Linked DNA regions of Nothobranchius furzeri. The protein of the gene in region 1 interacts with the protein of each later gene in a biochemical or structural test. Links are inferred from orthologs where the notes say so. Each region holds a gene or a part of one and is shown in the gene's direction. Other genes may lie near its edges. The genes, in order: uba1, ube2j2, ube2z, ube2c and ube2wb.

Region 1 (3,518 bases):
TAACCATCACTTTTCCTCTGCAGAAATCCATCTGCACCTCCATGGCCGAGCCAGAGTTCATGCTGACAGATTTTGCTAAATTTGACCATCCAGGACAACTTCATGCAGGCTTCCAGGCGATCCATGCATTCCAGAAGAAACACAGCCGCCTTCCGGCACCTTGGAGCCAGGTATCTGTCCGACTGCATAGTTGGAGGTTTAGTATCTAACGTATATTTTTGATTGACTGGCTCCACAGGAGCTATCCTGGAAGCCTTTGTAATGGCTAGCCCTGGTGATAACTCAGCAGAATGCATGGGCAGTGCCAGTGTGTATTTGATTTAGTGAGATTGGTAAATTGCTGAGCTTTGTGTTTTCCAGGCTGATGGTGAAGAGTTACTGACTTTGGCCAAGGAGGTGAACTCTGCTCAGACGGGCTCTGCCAAAGTGGAGCAGCTGAACGAAGCGCTCATCAAGAAGATGGCTTATGTCGCCGCCGGGGATCTTTCTCCTATCAATGCCTTCATCGGGGGCGTGGCTGCACAAGAAGTGATGAAGGTTGGAGGAAAATGCATAAACTAAGAGCTGCAGAATAAAAATCCAAAACCTTTTAACCAGACTTGAATGTTCAAAGTGATCAGTACAAATAAGTTTGTTAAATATTTTACATTCTGTGTCCTGTCAGGCCTCTACGGGGAAATTTATGCCTGTGATGCAGTGGCTGTACTTTGATGCTCTGGAGTGTCTGTCTGAAGGGGACGACGTCATGCTCACAGAGGAAGAGTGCTCGCCTGTCAGTGTTCAGAGAATATTAAAGTGTTTTTCACTGAAGACAAAACCACACGACTGCTGAGGAAAACCTCGGTGTTAACCTTTTTTTATTTTTACGTCTCTGCTTTTCTAGAGGAACTGTCGTTATGACGGGCAGATCGCCGTGTTTGGCACAAAGCTTCAGGATATGCTAGCCAACCAGCGCTACTTCCTGGTGAGTCACAATAGGGACTTTTAAACAGGAAGTGCCTTTAAAAATGTCTGAAAACGGTGGCACTACAGTAACTTTAAAAGTACACAGACTAATAATAATTTTGTATTTTTTGGCCTTACATGGGTTAAAGCAGGAATTGAGTTCTCCGTCGTGGCGACGGAAATCTGTCAGTTGGAATAATCAGAAAAAAGTTCAGTCAAAATCTCTTATTGCGCTCGCTTGGGTTTAGTAGTCTCTCGCTCTCTCCTGTTTCTAATTGAAACGCGCACCGGTATTGTTGAAACGTGTTTCTGCACCGCCCAAGCTGCAAAAACGCGTGCGCTCATTGCTCGCTCCCACGGTGCGCACAAACAAACTGCGCCCGCACCAGGCGCTGGGATTCTAACAGAGCCAATAAAGCTCTGATATCACAATGAGAGTTAACGTAATGAGCGGAACCAGGACCCAAATTCCCGGTGGGCCGATCTGAGGTCGGTGTTTTTAGTTGTCTCTTTGTTTTTTTCGGGCCTGTGTTCAGTCATGACGCTCTGCTGATCACCTGCTGATGAGAGGATTTCTCCTGTCAGTGGAACAGGTGAGCTGCTGAACAAGCGTTAGTTCCTAGAAACACTGTCTATGCCCAGACTAGTGACCTGTTATTTGTAATTTTATAATTAATATTAAGGGAATGCACTAAACCCACAAATGATGGAAGATGAGATTAAATATTATTAATCATATTACCATCAAATGTAAATAAGTATAACAGATAACTAATCTTGATGAAAAAATTATATTAATTTTTATTTTAATATTGATTATATTTAATTTCTACGGTGTGGATGTCTGTGAACATTACAGAATATTCAGATTGGTGTAAAGAACATGTTATTAATAACGGGTCATGATCTAAAGCTGGTCTGAGGTATAAAACTCTGCCCTGGGCCTAAAGCCCTGCAGATATATTTAGTTTCTATGAACACCAACAACAAATAAATAACAGCAGCTGGATTCTACTTTGTTCCTTAAATTGTGTCACGTAGTTTTTCAAGTTCTGCAGCTCACACGTTCATCATTGAGCCCTACCAGCTGATTGGTTCTTTTGGTATCTAGTGCAGTTCTGGTACTGAGCAGCATGGATGCATTAGTGGATTTCACTGTAGTCTGTGTTCATAATGGATTAAAGGACAGGAAAACATTAACTCAAATATGTCATTATAATGAACATGTATAGATACTTCATCATACATAGCTGCCAGCCTGTAACTACTTTCCCCCCAAAAATGCACCAGACTGATGCGTTTAAATATAAAATGTCCAATGTTTTTCCGGGGGGGCATGCTGCAGGTATGTATGTAGAGAAATGGCCCTTGTAGCTTGACTCACTGCATCCTCTGTCTGAAATCCTTCCAGGTGGGAGCCGGTGCCATCGGCTGTGAGCTGCTGAAAAACTTTGCCATGATTGGACTGGCGAGTGGGAACGGCGAGGTCATTGTGACCGACATGGACACCATAGAGAAATCTAATCTCAACAGACAGTTCCTCTTCAGACCCTCAGATGTTACTGTTAGTATCACCGACTGCTCAGTAGCTCAGATGTAAAGCACAAACAGGTGTCAGTCGTTTATGCACTACGTCTGGATGTTTATTTATTAATCATCACCAAACGGGCGCTAGCAATTGTTTAAATTAAAATATCAGAGACATCCAGACTGCTGCCGTTTTTTTATGTTGGACTACTCACTGTTACTACTACTACTACCACCACATACACACACACACACACACACAGTAGTCACATTAAATCAACAGGGTCTTTCCACTAAAGAATATGCTTTAAAACGGGCTGAACAGCACATCCTGAAATGTCTGGAGTTGTAGACGCGCTCGGTCAAGGAAATCCAACTGCGTCCAGCAGTGCAGGACATGGACCTGTTTGTCTGTAGGAGTCTGTCTTCATAAATGCATCAATTCTGTTAGGGACAGAAACGAAACTGGTTGCTGAAAAATGGCATCAGGTGTTCTGCACTGATGTGTCAACATTTTAAATATCTGGCTCAGTAAACGTCTGTTTGTCTGAAGGATCATCGAGTTGTTTCTGCAGCCAACAGTAACTCCTGGTGTTCTGTTTGATGCTTTAGTTCAGTTAATAGTTAAACTGCTGATGAATACTCCTCAATCATGCATCACTAGCAGGAAGGTGTGTTGTTACTTTTACCTCTTTAGAATTTACTAAATGTTGCATTATTAAAATAACATTCTGAAGTTCATAGATGACTTGGCTGCGTTCACATCTAGTTTTTATATATTTCAACAGAAAATGAAGAGTGACACAGCTGCTGCAGCGGTGAAGAAGATGAACCCCTCCATCAACATCACAGGCCATCAGAACCGAGTGGGCCCCGACACGGAGAAGGTCTACGATGATGACTTCTTTGAGAGCCTCGATGGCGTCGCCAATGCACTAGACAATGTTGATGCACGTAAGATGAACTTTAAATTGCTTAAAACATGCGCACGCTGATGAAGGAATGCAGTTTGGCTTTTTTTCTGTTACAAACCATCTTTTTATAGC
Region 2 (2,581 bases), on another chromosome or scaffold:
GAAGCATCGAAATGAACTGTTTAATCTGCCCATCATTTGTGTTGAGAGATCAGCAGCGTTTGGATCAACAAAGGGTGACTGCTTTGATAGTGGAAACTGTATTTATGGCTTATTTTTGTGCATTTAAACTTCAGCCGCCATTGATAGTTGTTAAAAGTTGTTAAACCTGTGCATATGAAAAGAAAAACGCTTTTTGTTATCGATTTATTGTGAAATAACGGAATTTTATTTTATTGCTTGCTCCCTTTCCTGTTGGGCGGTTGTGATTTCTGTCCATTGACTGCGGAGGTGCTCCGGCGTCCGGCAAAAATAGAATCGATCCTATTTTTGCCGGATGGCGGAACGGAGGGCGGCGCACTGCGCCGTACGGCCGCAGTAGTGGAACAGCTCTGACTACAACAGGACCGTTTTTGCTGCAGAGTTCGTGCCGGAGCGGAGCGGAGATAGTGGAATTTTGGGGTAATGGCATCCGTTGGTAAGGTCTTACTCAAAAACAAAAATGCCTCTTGCTTGCTAACTAACATTTTAGTGTGCAGCGCCTTATTTGGTTGTAATGCCTTGTGAATGCGCTTTATAAATAAAATTGGATTGGATTGGATTGGATTGTAATGATTTAGGTATGTCCTGCCCCCTGTGAGGGAAAATACACGTCATCACTTTAATCCAAAACTTTCTTTTTATTATAAATACAGACTCAAAGAAAAATACTCCTTTTTCAAGGAAAGTGCATTACAAATTAGTGTGTTTCTAGGCAATTGGTAATAATAATAAAAAAATCCCAGTTTTTAGGATATTTGGTATGTTTTATGGTTTTATTCATTGTATATATTTTTTTTCTGTAGGCACTATGTAGTCAGAGGTCCTGAGAAGACTCCATATGAAGGTAAGTATTTCTCATTACGTTTCCCGAATTGAATGTGTTTTCTCCAACTTTGTTTAATATTTTGTATTTTTGTCTTGTCCGTTTTCAGGGGGATATTATCACGGAAAACTCATATTTCCCAGAGAATTTCCTTTTAAGCCACCGAGTATTTATATGATAACACCAAATGGGAGATTCAAGTGCAACACGAGGTGAATCCCTACCCTTTGTGTCACTGATTGAAGACGGAAGCTTTTGAAGATGCTTTCATTCAGTTCTGTTTTTCTCTGTTTGTCCACAGGTTATGTTTGTCCATCACAGACTTCCATCCGGACACGTGGAATCCTGCTTGGTCAGTCTCAACGATCCTCACGGGTCTGCTCAGCTTTATGGTGGAGAAAGGACCAACACTTGGAAGCATTGAGACATCCGACTACACGGTGAGTGGAACAGGTGAGAGGATGGCGTGTAGCAAAGTAACAACAAATCAGTGGTGTTTTTTTCTCTCTAGAAAAGACAACTTTCAGCCCAAAGCCTGGCCTTTAACCTCAAAGACAAAGTGTTCTGTGAGCTCTTTCCTGATGTTGTGGAAGTAAGTATAAAGCAAGCACCACATTTCAGGACTTAAATGTCATCTTTGTGACATTTGATTTCAAAGTCTCCCATCTCTTTACCTTCACCAGGAAATCAGGCAGAAACAGAAGGCCCAAGAGGAGTTAAGTGTCCGCTCCCAGCCCCTTCCTTTACCCGACGTGGTACCTGATGGAGACCCTCAACATGCCCACTATGGGCTCCAGGCACTCAACGGAGGGCCAGCACCCGTGGGGGGTGCTAACCCCGCCCCTGGCCTGCAGCAGGCCAATCGAAACCACGGACTTTTAGGTGGAGCTTTAGCCAATCTGTTTGTGATCGTAGGCTTTGCAGCATTTGCGTACACGGTCAAATACGTTCTGAGGAGCATAGCCCAGGAGTAAAAGGAGCAGTCCCCTTCTCCCTGGAGCAAGCCAGCTAAATGACTCCAAACTATACAAACACATTATGAGGAGGAGGAATATTCCCCCCCTGAGCTAACCCCCTCCACAACAGCGACTACCACCGTGGACTTTGGAAGACAGAAACGAACCCTCTCTGGACGGTCTAAGGTTGGATTGGAGTGGGAGGGTCAACGGGGGCTCGGAGGGGTTTATTAAAACGGTTGTGATCCACTTTGTGCTGCAGTGGTTTATATTAGTCCTGGGAACAAACTTGGCTCATGGGTTGAGATTTCTGCCTAAATCCTTCAAAACAATTCTCACCATTTAGTAGCCGTCCTGAAAACGGAGGACGGAATTTTTAACAGTCAAAGACGCGCCGCATTTATTAAATCTGATAACTATTTGCCAAAGCAGACGAAATCATAAATATCACAGCTGTCAAGACTTCATATGTTTTTATTTAGAATTATTGTAGGATAATATATAAAAAATTAATTCATTAAAAGCTTTATTTAGCTTGAAATTTCATGAAAATTATCATCTGAGTCCCCTAGGTGTTGTCTGACTTCAGCGTTGGCTCTAAGCCTTTTCAGGATAGTTTAGTTTTTTTATTTTTATATGAATCCGTTCACTTCAGCTTTTCTCGTGTTTGAGGCGAAGTCTATTAAAGTAGTTTGATCCTCAAATGTGAGTAACTTCATCAGGTTGTAAAGTCTTTCTCACGGTGTCAGACCAGTGTACTTTT
Region 3 (4,210 bases), on another chromosome or scaffold:
GGGGGGGGGGCGTCGACATGGTCGGGACATAGAAGGGGGTGCGCGGCTAAATAAGTTTGGGAACCACTGGCTTAGATAGTTGATTTCATATGAGCTTTATAGACCAATTGTAGAGTCCTATAATCAGCCAGATCGCCCAATTTTAATATTTGTACCACAGCCAATAATGCATTGGTTGGAGCTCTGACTACTTAGACTAATGATTGCTAATTTTTTGTAAAATCATAAATGGATTAGTGTATGTTTATATGTAATCCACAAATTTCAGTGCAATCCAGCATATATGGGACAATCACATGATTATATAAAACATTAAGCATTATATTTCAAAGACTCATTCACTCTGTTATCTGGTTATGCTAAAATGTCCACATACATTCAAGTTTTTATTTGTCTACACACACACACACACACACACACACACACACACACACACACACACACACACACACACGCACGCACGGACACACACACACACACACACACACACAGAGGCTGCACTCGCATACCGGTAAGCTAATGCGGGCGCGCTGACACACAACACAACTTCTCCTGCTACACTTCTTCTATAGGATAACAATTTTGATTGTTTTACTAGAAAATCCTGCAAATAAAATGTTTACCTCTCATCTGGACATTTACATCACACCACAAACAAGATAGCCGAAAATGTTCGTTATGCAGAACTGCAGCGATAAAAAATATGTCATTGGTGCTCCAGTCTTAGGTTTATCATATGGATCCAAACCATTTATAAGTCTGATTTTGTCCACATTCCGGTCCCCGACATATTTCTATAACATATCCCTGTTTATTCCGCATCCTTTAGGGATTTTATAATGTTGTTTAACACTTTCTTTCACCCAAATCCACTTCTTCTCTGCGACAGTACTGTTTGTTTCACGCTTTGTTTACACTTGTCAAGCTTCCAACATGTCCGCACACATCCCATAATGCTTTGCGTAATCACGTATGATCACAGTCTGATATTCAGGGTTTTCAGCTGTAATCATCACAGTTATAAGAAATAAAGGCTGAAACATCTGGATTTGCGTGGAACGAATCTGTGTCATCGTTTCACCTTTTAGGTTGTATTACTGACACTGATGCATTTTTGCTCCAGATTCTCGTTTTTCGAGGTTCACCTGTAGGTCTAACATGAAGTAAAGCGCTTAAATTGGACGTTTACTTTGAAGTCCTGACCGGATGTTACGTCGTTACCGTAACAACAAACTTGACATGAGGAAAAAACCCTTGAAGTTGTGGTATGTTGCTCGAACGGCGCTTATGTATTGAGTTGATAGCCATTTAACATCCTGTTTCCTCAGATAACCAACGAGTTAACAACACCTTTGGTGTTCATGTCTGTAACCAGGTGGGTGCTGCGGCTCTGCTAAACACGGAACTCTCTGGAGGCCCGGGAGGAATAAATACAGTTTAGCAAATAATACGTAGCCATCATCCGCGGGAAGCCCTGCCATGCCTCCTACCTGCCTGCGTGTTCTCTGATCACAATGAGAAATGAAACACTCGGAGGTCACTTCAGACTCTATTACCAATGAGGCTAACACCTAGCGTTGCAAGGTAGGCAGCAGCGGATTTACACTAGCTTGCTAGCTCGTGAGCCATGGCGGATAGCTTTGGAGAGGAGTGTGGCAGTGGTGCCTTTGGTTTAGGCGTCACCGAACAAGGCAGTGGAACCTTTCCTCTGCCGACTTTGGCCAACTCTCTTCCCGAGGGACACTCAGCAGCAAGCGGTGTAAACGCCAGCGCCAACTCGGCCTCTCCTCCACCCGCCACCACCGCACAGAGTGGCCTAACTGCTTTGGCTCCTGTCGCGTCTGCTGTCGGCTTTGGAAACACCTTTATTACGGGGTCATCACCACCTTTTATGGCAGTGTCTCCGATTGTGCACGCGTCCTCCTCTCTGCCCACCGTGGGGCTAGGGGTGGCAGGAGGGGGCCTCTTGTCCCAGATCCACGCCACTTCCTGGGATCCGACCCTCAGCACAGACTGGGACAACGAAAAGGCTTCCCAGCAGTGCATCTTGAGGATAAAGAGGTAAATTCTGTTTTTAATCAAGCCTTAAATTATTTCTGGATCCTTTCTATCATGTGTGTTTTTTCTATATAAGATACTCATTAGCCTTTGAATGAATTGTTTCTTGTGCTGCATCGTCTCCGCTGTCTAATCTCTGATTACTCAACCTTAATTCTGTCTTTTCCTTTTAGCTCTAAATTATAAATTTATTTGGGTTCTCATGTTTGTTGTTGTTGTGACATTTCATGCTAATTGTAAAGCATATTGAATTGCCCTTTGTTTGAAATGTGCTATAAGCTACCTTGCCTTTAATTCAGCTCCAAGGCTTTCCTACTAACCGTCACTGAGGTCTGCAAAACGATTATTAGCTTAATAAGAATATTTTCTGTAGAGTTTGCCTTTGCCAAAATAAAGAAATCATTTTGGTGACTGTGTTTAAGGACCCAAAAGTCATTTCATGCTGGGGAAAACCGAAAGTGTTTAACCAAAGAAGTAAAACCAGGAAATAGAACCTGATTCTGACGTCACTCACAAGGAAACCTGGTTTATTAGTGACTAAAATGTGTTGCTGATGGGATCATGGATCTCCCCTGTGCTAAAAGATTGCATAGGTTACAATATGACTATAAATAAAATTGTAAAAGGTAAGGAAACGCGTAGCACCGACACACCTGTCATTGGATCACAACAGAAATGAAAGCAGAATGCCTTCTGCAATAATAAAAAAACGCTAGTGTAGGGCTGGACGATATAGAAAAATATTCAAATTCAAATTCAAAACTACTTTATTAATCCCAGAGGGAAATTGATTGCTGTAGTAGCTCAGAATAATAATAATAATCAAGTCATCAAAGAGTTGTTGTATATTACAATGGCTGTTGGCAGGAAGGATCTCCAGTAGCGGTCAGTGTTGCAGCCAAACTGAAGAAGCCTCTGACTGAAGACACTCTTTCATTGTCGGACAGTCTTGTGAAGAGAAAGCTCAGGGTTGTCCATCATTTTCTTGATTCTCTGGAGAATCCTTCTTTGCATTATCTCCTCCAGCGGTTCCGAAACTGCCGAAACTCTGGCTGAGTCCTTGAAAGGGCTTGGAGTTCCTCCATCTTGTTGGGCAGTGATCTCACATTGCCCATTATGATCGATGGAAGAGACTGTTTGAATTTCCTCTTTCTCCGTCTCTGTTTAGCTCCCGCTCTGCACCCACGCTTCTTGCGTTTTAGCTCATTTGGGATTTGTGGCTTCAGTTGAGGTATTATTTCAGCCTTTCCAATGTTAATCAGTTGTTCCTGATTGTAAACCAGCTTGTTGCCATGGTTACGCATCATAAAAAATGCTCAAAAATTGAGAAAACCTAAAAAATAGCAGTAAAAATCCTCCAAGCTTCACAGCACCAGAAACGGAAAAGTAAAATGTCAAAACAAATACAGATTTTCTTGAGAAACTAGAAGAAAAAATGCCCAAGAAAAGGCAAAATTTACATACAGTCAACAGAGCTACTCCAACATGCAGCCGCCCAGAGCAGCGCAGTTCGTTAAAAATGTTTTTATATTCATCAATATAGATAATTATTAAAAAATATTTAAAAAATTGTAGAAAATATATTTTATGTGCAGCCCTGGCCGTTTTATTTTTGGTATTTTCATTTTTCTCCGTCTCTTCTTGCTGCGACATCTTTAGGATTGCCACAAACAACTATTTTAATAACCGACTAATCGCCAGTTTTGTTGACGATTAGTCGACTAATCGCCAACAAAACTGGCGATTAGTCGACTAATCGGGTCGTTCATAAAAGTTTAGCTTATTGCACCAGGATGCTCTAATATACTCATCTTTAGCTTCCAGGAGAGGTGTGACCAAGTCACTGCTTTGCAAGTCACAAGTAAGTCACAAGTCTTTTCAGTCAAGTCCAAGTCGAAGTAGAGTCCAAAGTCAATGATGTGGAAGTCCAAGTCAAGTCCAAGTCCTTAACTTTGAAGTTTCAAGTCATAATCACGTCATCTGTCCAACTTCAATTTAATGACAATCATAATAAATACATTCTAGAAATAAAACTTCTTAAAGCTTCATTTATTTGCTCAAACAAGCAGAACGTGCAACTGAATTATAAACAAAGTGCTGCTGCATTTAGAGGTACAACATCAAACCCAGAACGGAGAATGATTTAGGATTT
Region 4 (3,988 bases), on another chromosome or scaffold:
GGTTTGTGGTATTATTGTTGCTTTGAAAAAATAAACATGGGCTTACACACACACACACAATTCCCATCTCACCCTCCGCGGGTGGTCTCATCCAAGCTTGGGTCCTCTACCAGAGGCCTGGGAGCTTGAGGGTTCTGCAGTATCTTAGCTGTTCCTAGAGCTGCACTTTTCTGGACTGAGATGGTTTTCCTGGGATTCCTCCAGTCTGGGGGTTACTGCCCTGATGCCCATGAGCACCACCGATGTCTTCATTCTCCAGGCTTTCTCAAGTTCTTCTTTGAGGCCCAGGTAGTTTCTCATGCTCCTTTTTCCTGAGGTTACATCACTTTGTATCGCTATATCAACCACAACAGCTGTCCTCTGTTGTTTGTCCTCCAACACAATGTCCGGATGGTTCTCCATCACCATTTTATCAGTTTGGATCTGGAAGTCCCACAAGAGCTTGGCTCTTGTTCTCAACCACCTTAGGGGGTGTTACCCACTTTGACCTTGGGGCTTCCAGTCCATGCTCTGCACAGACGTTCCTGTACACTATGCCAGCAGCTTGGTTGTGGCGTTCCTTGTATGCTTTCCTTCCCAGCATCTTACACCCTGCAGTTATGTGGTGGATTGTCTCAGGGTTCTACACCTTGGGTCTTGTCTGGTGTGGTAGATGTTCAGGGCCTGTTCCTGTGCAGCCATGATGAGTGCCTCTGTGCTATTCTTCAGACCAGCTCTTTCTAGTTCTTGGTAGGATTTCTTGATATCAGCCACTTCATTATATATATATATATATATATATATATATATATATATATATATATATATATATATATATATATATATATATATATATATATATATATATATATATATTCCCCTCTGACCCTCTGCAGGTGTACTCATCCTCCCAAGCTCCAATTTTTGTGATCCATCATTTAACTTGATTTAGGCTCTTGACTCTTCTAGGAGATTTTATACATCCCTGTAGGAGGAGGGGTAAACAAAAATGTGTTTAATAACTTAGATTTTAAGTTCATTTATTTAAAAAACGCGTTTAAAATAACAAATTGAACCAATGACTTCCGCTGTGTGAACGCCTAGATGGTGGGGGCGGGTTCTGGCTGATTCTACTGGCCAATTACAGTGTAGCTTTTTAATCACCATCTTCTCATTGGTTCGATGAGGGTAGTTCATTTTTTGAAAGTCAGACACTGATTGGCTGTTTGTGAGGAAACGTCGTTTTAAACTGGGGGCGGCAGAAGAATCGGTTTGAATCTAGAGAATCCAGCCTTCCACCACGAACTGAACACCGGTGAGTGTTTAAATCAGCTATAGTATGGCTATAAATGTAATCATGTGTTAGCATGAAGACAAAGAGCCAGTGGTTCTGACCGGTACCACGAGGCACGGCTCAGCGTTTTCTCTGAAATCTCCGGGAGTTAGCATGTAGCTGCTGTTAGCTACAGAAGCTACGGCCCGCTCGGTTGGATTTGATCGGCTCGGTTCGGCCTGCCTCCCCTGCTCAGTCCGTCTGATGTTATATCTGTGTCCTCGGCAGGAGTCGGACTAGCAGCATTCATGGCCTCCCAGAATATGGACCCCGCCGCGGCTGCAGCTTCCTCCACGGCCGCTCTGAAAGGCAGCGAAAGCAGTGGCAACGCGACCAGAGGCTCGGTGACCAAACGGTGAGTTCCGGGCCGTTACAGAACCGGAACCTTACAGGTGTAAAGAATGGGTCGTTTACATCTTACTTCTGAACCATAAAATGTGAGATTCCATAGAAATATGAAATATCAATCTGATGGATCTTTGTTCAGAAGATCGGAACTTTTTATTGCAGGGATTAAGCAACACTTTGTACTAACTCCAAGGAAAGAGAGAGAGTCAGGTTTAAAATAGTTAAAGAAATGTACTTCTACACAATTTAAACAAGAATAACTTAAACACTGTGTACTGATGGAACTAAGGTGGTGTGTGTGTGTGTGTGTGTGTGTGTGTGTGTGTGTGTGATGTTGTTCAGAACCAGCGGCTCCGTAGAAGCAGTTAATTCTGAGTGGGAGTGAATGTTTTGCTCTAAACTTTAGTTGGAGATATATAACACACATGAAACGCCATCTGTCGGTCTACGTTTCTGCTGGACTTGGTTCTTCTTTGGACAATAAAATATCAATAACCCAGTGAGTTCTCCAGCAATGTGAGCCTGCAGCTGCATAACTAGAGATGTGCCAGGATAATCTAAACTAACCTAGAGTCTACGCAAAGGTGCTTCTGCTTGATGTGGTGGAAACATGAAGCTGGTTCCACCAGAGGAGCCTGAGAACTGGAAGTTCTGCCTCCTTACTACTTTTAGGACCGCTGGAAAGTTGAAGCCACAAGTAAAAAGCAGCCTGAGAGCCAAGTGTTCTGCTGGGAACATCTGGAACAAGAGCATCATTAATCGAAAAAGCGTGATCCTTCAGATTTGGAAATAAAATTGAAACTCAATTCTGGATATTTTAGCTAATGAAGTGATCCTAAAACTGAAGAAATCTGATCTCTCCTGGTTTTATTCATCACAAAAATGAATTTTATGAAACAGGAAAGTTTGAGTTGTTAACTGATCAGGTGCTTGAATTTTTTTTATTTGTGAAACAAATTGTTCTGTTATTGATCTTATTACTGCAGCTTATTTCTGGACCTGTGTTGCACTTGTTTAATTCGTATGTGTGTGTGTGTGTGTGTGTGTAGGTTGCAGCAGGAGCTGATGACTCTCATGGTAAGTTCACATCTATAGTTTTATTTTGGTTTCAATAACAAAATGAAAGATGGACGATCCTAACGGGTCACAGGACAGTTGTTAGTCAGAATGTTAACGAACCTGATGACCTGCACAAGTTCATCCTCATTGGGTGGTGGTGTTTACTCATTGATTGATGCACCCATAGTCACACGATCTCCTGCCTCAACACTAATGCAGAGTTGGTGCTGGTTAGGATGAGTGTTTAGCTTGAAGTGCACAGGTGGCGTTAGTCATCTGCAGGTCAGCTGCTCCGTTCTCATCCAGACACTTATCAATGATTTGTTTGTTTCTGTGATTGATTTCTCTGGTCTGATCATTCACACAGGAGCATCAATACCAACATACCTGACATTAGTAAAATCAACAAAACCTGATATTTCTGAGGTCATGTGACCTGTGCGTTCCTCCCTCCTGTAGATGTCGGGTGATAAGGGCATCTCTGCTTTTCCAGAATCGGATAATCTCTTCAAATGGGTCGGAACCATCGATGGAGCCCAAGGAACAGTATGACCACATAAATACAGCACGATCTAAAACTTGACCCCTCCACTTGCTGCTCTGATTCACCCGACACTCTTACCTGTGTGCCCAGGTGTACGAAGGCCTCCGGTACCGTCTGTCTCTGGAGTTTCCAGCTGGGTATCCGTACCATGCTCCTCGGGTAAAGTTCGTCACTCCGTGTTTCCATCCCAATGTGGACGATCAGGGCTTCATCTGTCTCGACATCCTGAAGGACAAGTGGTCGGCACTGTACGATGTTCGTTCTATCCTGCTGTCCATCCAGAGTCTACTGGGAGGTAACCGGAACCACCAGTTTGCTGTCTGCTAAAACCTGATGGATCCATCAGAGCCATCTTTGCACAGCTCAGAGAGCAGCACACAATTCCTTCTGTATTCCCCAGAACCAAACAACGAGAGTCCTCTGAACACGACCGCAGCAGAACTGTGGAGCAACCAAGGTGGTAAGTACACCCACAACCTTTCAGGCAGCCAGCAGAACCCAGAGAACGGCCAGCTACTAATACAATCGGTGTTTGGGTACTTTTGAGCAGTTCTCTTTTGTGACTTTGCTGGTGAAGGTTCTGTCATCCAGGTCATGGTAACCCAAAAGGATTCAAATGAAAGTGACTGGACTTCTTTGGTTTGAAGACGTTTCGCTTCTCATCCGAGGAGCTTTGTCAGTTCTAACTGGAAATGGGAGAGTCAAGCTTATAAGCTGTAGCTGCC
Region 5 (3,518 bases), on another chromosome or scaffold:
AAGATTAAAGTCCCATAGTTGTCACTAGGGCTGCACAATATATCGTAAATATATTGTTATCGCGATATCAGCTTGCACAATATGCATATCACAAAGAACAGATAAATATCGCAATGAATGATCAGCTCAAATGTTTGCTACACATAATGCATTCTGTCAATCAAATGGAAGCCTGATGTTTTTTTTAACAAATCAAATAGAGCTCTTCACCCATTTGGCCAAAAGGGTGGGTTCTCATAGATTAGATGCCCGCCCCTGAGGCGGACAGTACTTAATTTTGATGGTTAGCAAACACATGAGTTAGCTTTGTTCTGCTCTTTTTGCTGATTCTGCTTTTCCTGGGATCCACTGATTACCTTTTCTTGTTCATTATCTTTTTCCCTTTCCTCACATCTTTTGCTTTTCTCGTTTTTTTTTTTCTTCTTTGTTTTTGATTATTTTTGTTCATGAGATAAGTTTTTATTTATTGCAAGTAATATTGTTATCGCAATTTAATCATTGTTATCGAATATAGCCGGTTTTCCTAATATCGTGCAGCCCTAGTTGTCACACACACTTGTGTGGGGAGGCGCGGTGTGCTGCAGACACGGCTGCGCTCGGGAACTATTTCGTAGTTTAACCCCCCAATCCAACCCTTTAAAGCTGTGTCAAGCATTGGGTCCCATTTTTAAAGGCCAAGTAAAAATGCCTTTGTTACCAAGACGAGACCAAGCACATATAATATTAATATCAGATAAGGAGAAACAGCCAGCTGCTACCACTTCAACTTAAGGACAAACTACCAGAGTCCCAAAAAGAAAAAACACCATTTGAAGTCACAGACACCAAAGATGTTTAGGCATAGAAAAATGTGATTGTTGATTTGTGCTCTCCCATTTACTCTGGCAATGCGCATTCCCGTATTGGGGGGCGTGGCCTAGCCGACGGAGGTATGAGAGTCTTTTGACTGTGTTTATATGGAATGGCCAACTTGCTGTGCTGATTTGGTAAAGCAGCTTCAATACCAATGGTTCAGAAAATATGATTACCACCCCTGTAACGTTTATATTCGACAGTAAACATTTGGGTAACCTGTGTTCTTTATTGGGGCACCGGGGGAATGTTTTAGTCATCATTGTCCTTTTTTGTTTTTAGGTGGATTGTAGATATGGAGGGAGCGCCCGGTACACTCTATGAAGGAGAGAAATTTCAGCTGCTATTCAAATTTAGTAGTCGATATCCTTTTGATTCACCTCAGGTAAGAGCAAAGGGTGTGTGTGTGTGTGTGTGTGTGTGTGTGTGTGTGTGTGTGTGTGTGTGTGTGTGTGTGTGTGTGTGTGTGTGTGTGTGTGTTCGCATATTTAAATGGGTCCTACAATTCAACAACCACTTTTACCTTGTTGTTGAATAGAGGCAACTTGAGATGTCTATGTAGCGTACCAAAAAGTCTGCAACTTGTAAATTAGTAAAGTTGTAATGGTCACGGAGAAACGGTTCATCCTGACAAAAACTGGTTTAACGCGTCATAAGCATAGACGCACCTCCCTACATTAGCATGCTCCAACCCACTTCAACATCCGCAATGAATAAACTTTGATCTCAGTAATGCTAACTGCAGAAAAATGCTAGCCCGAGCTACTGCTAATGTTCTTATAAACAAAGGGAAAACACATGTAACGTTCCAGGATGTACAGGGTATATCCAAACTTATAATGAATGCCAGATAGATCTGTAGCTTTCTATTGAATAATATGGATATTGTACACTGCTGTACAGAGATTCTAGCTTGAGCAGTGTCATTGAGCCATTAAACCAGCCAATCAGCATGCAGCTCATTTAATATTCATTATCAGAGCTCCTAGGGCATTGTGGACCCCAACAAAGTGTCATGTGCTTTATATGGCGCTTGCACACTAGCGTCGTAACGGTCGGGGTTTGGTCGGGCAGGATGGCGTGAGTTTGGGCTGGTATGGTCGGTGTAGTGTTTACATATTAATCCGAGGAACTTCTCAAGATGCGGAAATCCCCAAGCCTGTGGGGGGCGCTTAATACGCGCGGGAAAGTCCGTTCCATAAGGTACCAAAAGGCGGACATGAGCTGTGTTGCTTTTGGAGACTCTGAACCACATTATTTTATTAATTTACTCTGTGTCCCCTCATAATCTTGTGCCGCCCACCCCCTGATTTCTCCCCTGAGCAGCTGTCTGCTTGCGAGGGGCAAGAGCTCCGATGCGGAGAATGGGAGCATGCATGCACACACACACACTCAAACAAAGCTATTCTTTTCTCCCGCTCCCACACTTAATAGCAGCTCCGGATCGGCAGCTCCGTGCAACAGACAGAAGTTAACTCAACAGCATCCAGCATGAAAATGAACCGCACATGCAGGAACCCCCGGCTGGCTGATTCTTCTCGCAGATCGGAGGCGGTAGGCGTAATTTCAGCCGGCCAGTCAGTCCGTAGTGTCGCCTCGGTCCCAGTCTGACCGCTGGGGAGAAGGTCTGGGAAAAAGTCGCCTCGGCACTGAAAACGCTAATCGGACCGGTGTGTGAAACCAAATTCCGGTGCCGTTCGGTACCTTATGGGCCCGTACCTACGCTAATGTGTAAGCGCCAATAGAGGCTCAAAGAAAAGCTGTTGTAGATCCACGTTTGTGGATCTTTATCCATACCATACCATACCAAGTTTATTTATAAAGCACATTTAAAAACAGCATGACAGCTGACCAAAGTGCTGTACAGTAGTAGTAAAAGGAAAACCCCAAGATAAAAACAAGATAAATATCATAAAAGAGATAAAAGGGATAACCTAAAAATGTAAAAGAAACATACTAGAGTAAAAACAAAGTCACAATAAAAACAATGCTAAAAGGTTAGCACATTTCAACAGGGAAGATTCTATAACAATAAAAGCTTGGTCATTGATCAAAAGCTAAATAGTAGAAGTAGTCCTTCAGTACAGACTTGAATCAACCCAGTTCTGGGGCCTGTCGAACACTAAGGGTGAGAGCATTCCAAAGTTTAGGAGCAGCGAACACAAAGGCCCGCTCCCCACGAGATTTATACTTCATTTTTGGGATGTACAAAAGTAAATGATCTGCTGATCTCAGGGTTCTGGGTGGAACATGAGGCATGAGCAGTTCTGACAGATGAGCAGAGGCTTGACCATTCAGGATGTTGTAAACTAAGGTTAAGACCTTAAACTGGATACGATATTTAACCGGCAGCTAGTGCAAGCGTGCAAGGACAGGTGAAATGTGACAGCGTCAAGAGGTGTTTGTCAGGAATCTAGCCGCTGCATTCTGCACTCTCTGAAGCCTTATCCAGCCTAGTTGAAAGGGTCACTCATTTCTTACACTGTCTTAGCTTCAGTTTTCTTTTATGATGTTTTGACAGTAATGTTTGAATTCAGCATCACTAGATGATCCGATATTGGCACCTATCTGTTAAGAGTTCTGCAGCGGGGGCACTAAAGCCCAGAGGACCACTTTTCTAAACTTAAGTGGAAAAACTTTTGTGTCTACCTTATGGGTGGCTGCAT

What was found.
Region 2: of the proteins of uba1 (region 1) and ube2j2, one has a biochemical effect on the other in vitro, tested with the Homo sapiens proteins (2 studies listed by BioGRID). The link is inferred for Nothobranchius furzeri from reciprocal best matches to the Homo sapiens genes UBA1 and UBE2J2.
Region 3: of the proteins of uba1 (region 1) and ube2z, one has a biochemical effect on the other in vitro, tested with the Homo sapiens proteins (3 studies listed by BioGRID). The link is inferred for Nothobranchius furzeri from reciprocal best matches to the Homo sapiens genes UBA1 and UBE2Z.
Region 4: of the proteins of uba1 (region 1) and ube2c, one has a biochemical effect on the other in vitro, tested with the Homo sapiens proteins (5 studies listed by BioGRID, with this or other methods). The link is inferred for Nothobranchius furzeri from reciprocal best matches to the Homo sapiens genes UBA1 and UBE2C.
Region 5: of the proteins of uba1 (region 1) and ube2wb, one has a biochemical effect on the other in vitro, tested with the Homo sapiens proteins (5 studies listed by BioGRID, with this or other methods). The link is inferred for Nothobranchius furzeri from reciprocal best matches to the Homo sapiens genes UBA1 and UBE2W.

What each region holds. Positions count from the first base shown.
Region 1 is NC_091755.1:24,213,264-24,216,781, reverse strand, and holds part of uba1 (ubiquitin-like modifier-activating enzyme 1), read left to right. Parts: intron 1-23; coding exon 24-170; intron 171-360; coding exon 361-537; intron 538-664; coding exon 665-772; intron 773-883; coding exon 884-964; intron 965-2,356; coding exon 2,357-2,509; intron 2,510-3,260; coding exon 3,261-3,426; intron 3,427-3,518. UniProt on the Homo sapiens protein: Catalyzes the first step in ubiquitin conjugation to mark cellular proteins for degradation through the ubiquitin-proteasome system.
Region 2 is NC_091743.1:52,925,559-52,928,139, forward strand, and holds the end of ube2j2 (ubiquitin-conjugating enzyme E2 J2), read left to right. Parts: intron 1-842; coding exon 843-883; intron 884-971; coding exon 972-1,074; intron 1,075-1,163; coding exon 1,164-1,302; intron 1,303-1,373; coding exon 1,374-1,454; intron 1,455-1,545; coding exon 1,546-1,836; 3' UTR 1,837-2,067; downstream 2,068-2,581. UniProt on the Homo sapiens protein: Catalyzes the covalent attachment of ubiquitin to other proteins. Seems to function in the selective degradation of misfolded membrane proteins from the endoplasmic reticulum (ERAD).
Region 3 is NC_091758.1:15,254,699-15,258,908, forward strand, and holds the start of ube2z (ubiquitin-conjugating enzyme E2 Z), read left to right. Parts: upstream 1-1,399; 5' UTR 1,400-1,627; coding exon 1,628-2,061; intron 2,062-4,210. UniProt on the Homo sapiens protein: Catalyzes the covalent attachment of ubiquitin to other proteins. Specific substrate for UBA6, not charged with ubiquitin by UBE1. May be involved in apoptosis regulation.
Region 4 is NC_091743.1:77,062,405-77,066,392, reverse strand, and holds the start of ube2c (ubiquitin-conjugating enzyme E2 C), read left to right. Parts: upstream 1-1,188; 5' UTR 1,189-1,294; intron 1,295-1,540; 5' UTR 1,541-1,560; coding exon 1,561-1,667; intron 1,668-2,709; coding exon 2,710-2,737; intron 2,738-3,178; coding exon 3,179-3,265; intron 3,266-3,353; coding exon 3,354-3,558; intron 3,559-3,663; coding exon 3,664-3,723; intron 3,724-3,988. UniProt on the Homo sapiens protein: Accepts ubiquitin from the E1 complex and catalyzes its covalent attachment to other proteins. In vitro catalyzes 'Lys-11'- and 'Lys-48'-linked polyubiquitination.
Region 5 is NC_091747.1:53,051,275-53,054,792, reverse strand, and holds part of ube2wb (probable ubiquitin-conjugating enzyme E2 W-B), read left to right. Parts: intron 1-1,134; coding exon 1,135-1,237; intron 1,238-3,518. UniProt on the Homo sapiens protein: Accepts ubiquitin from the E1 complex and catalyzes its covalent attachment to other proteins.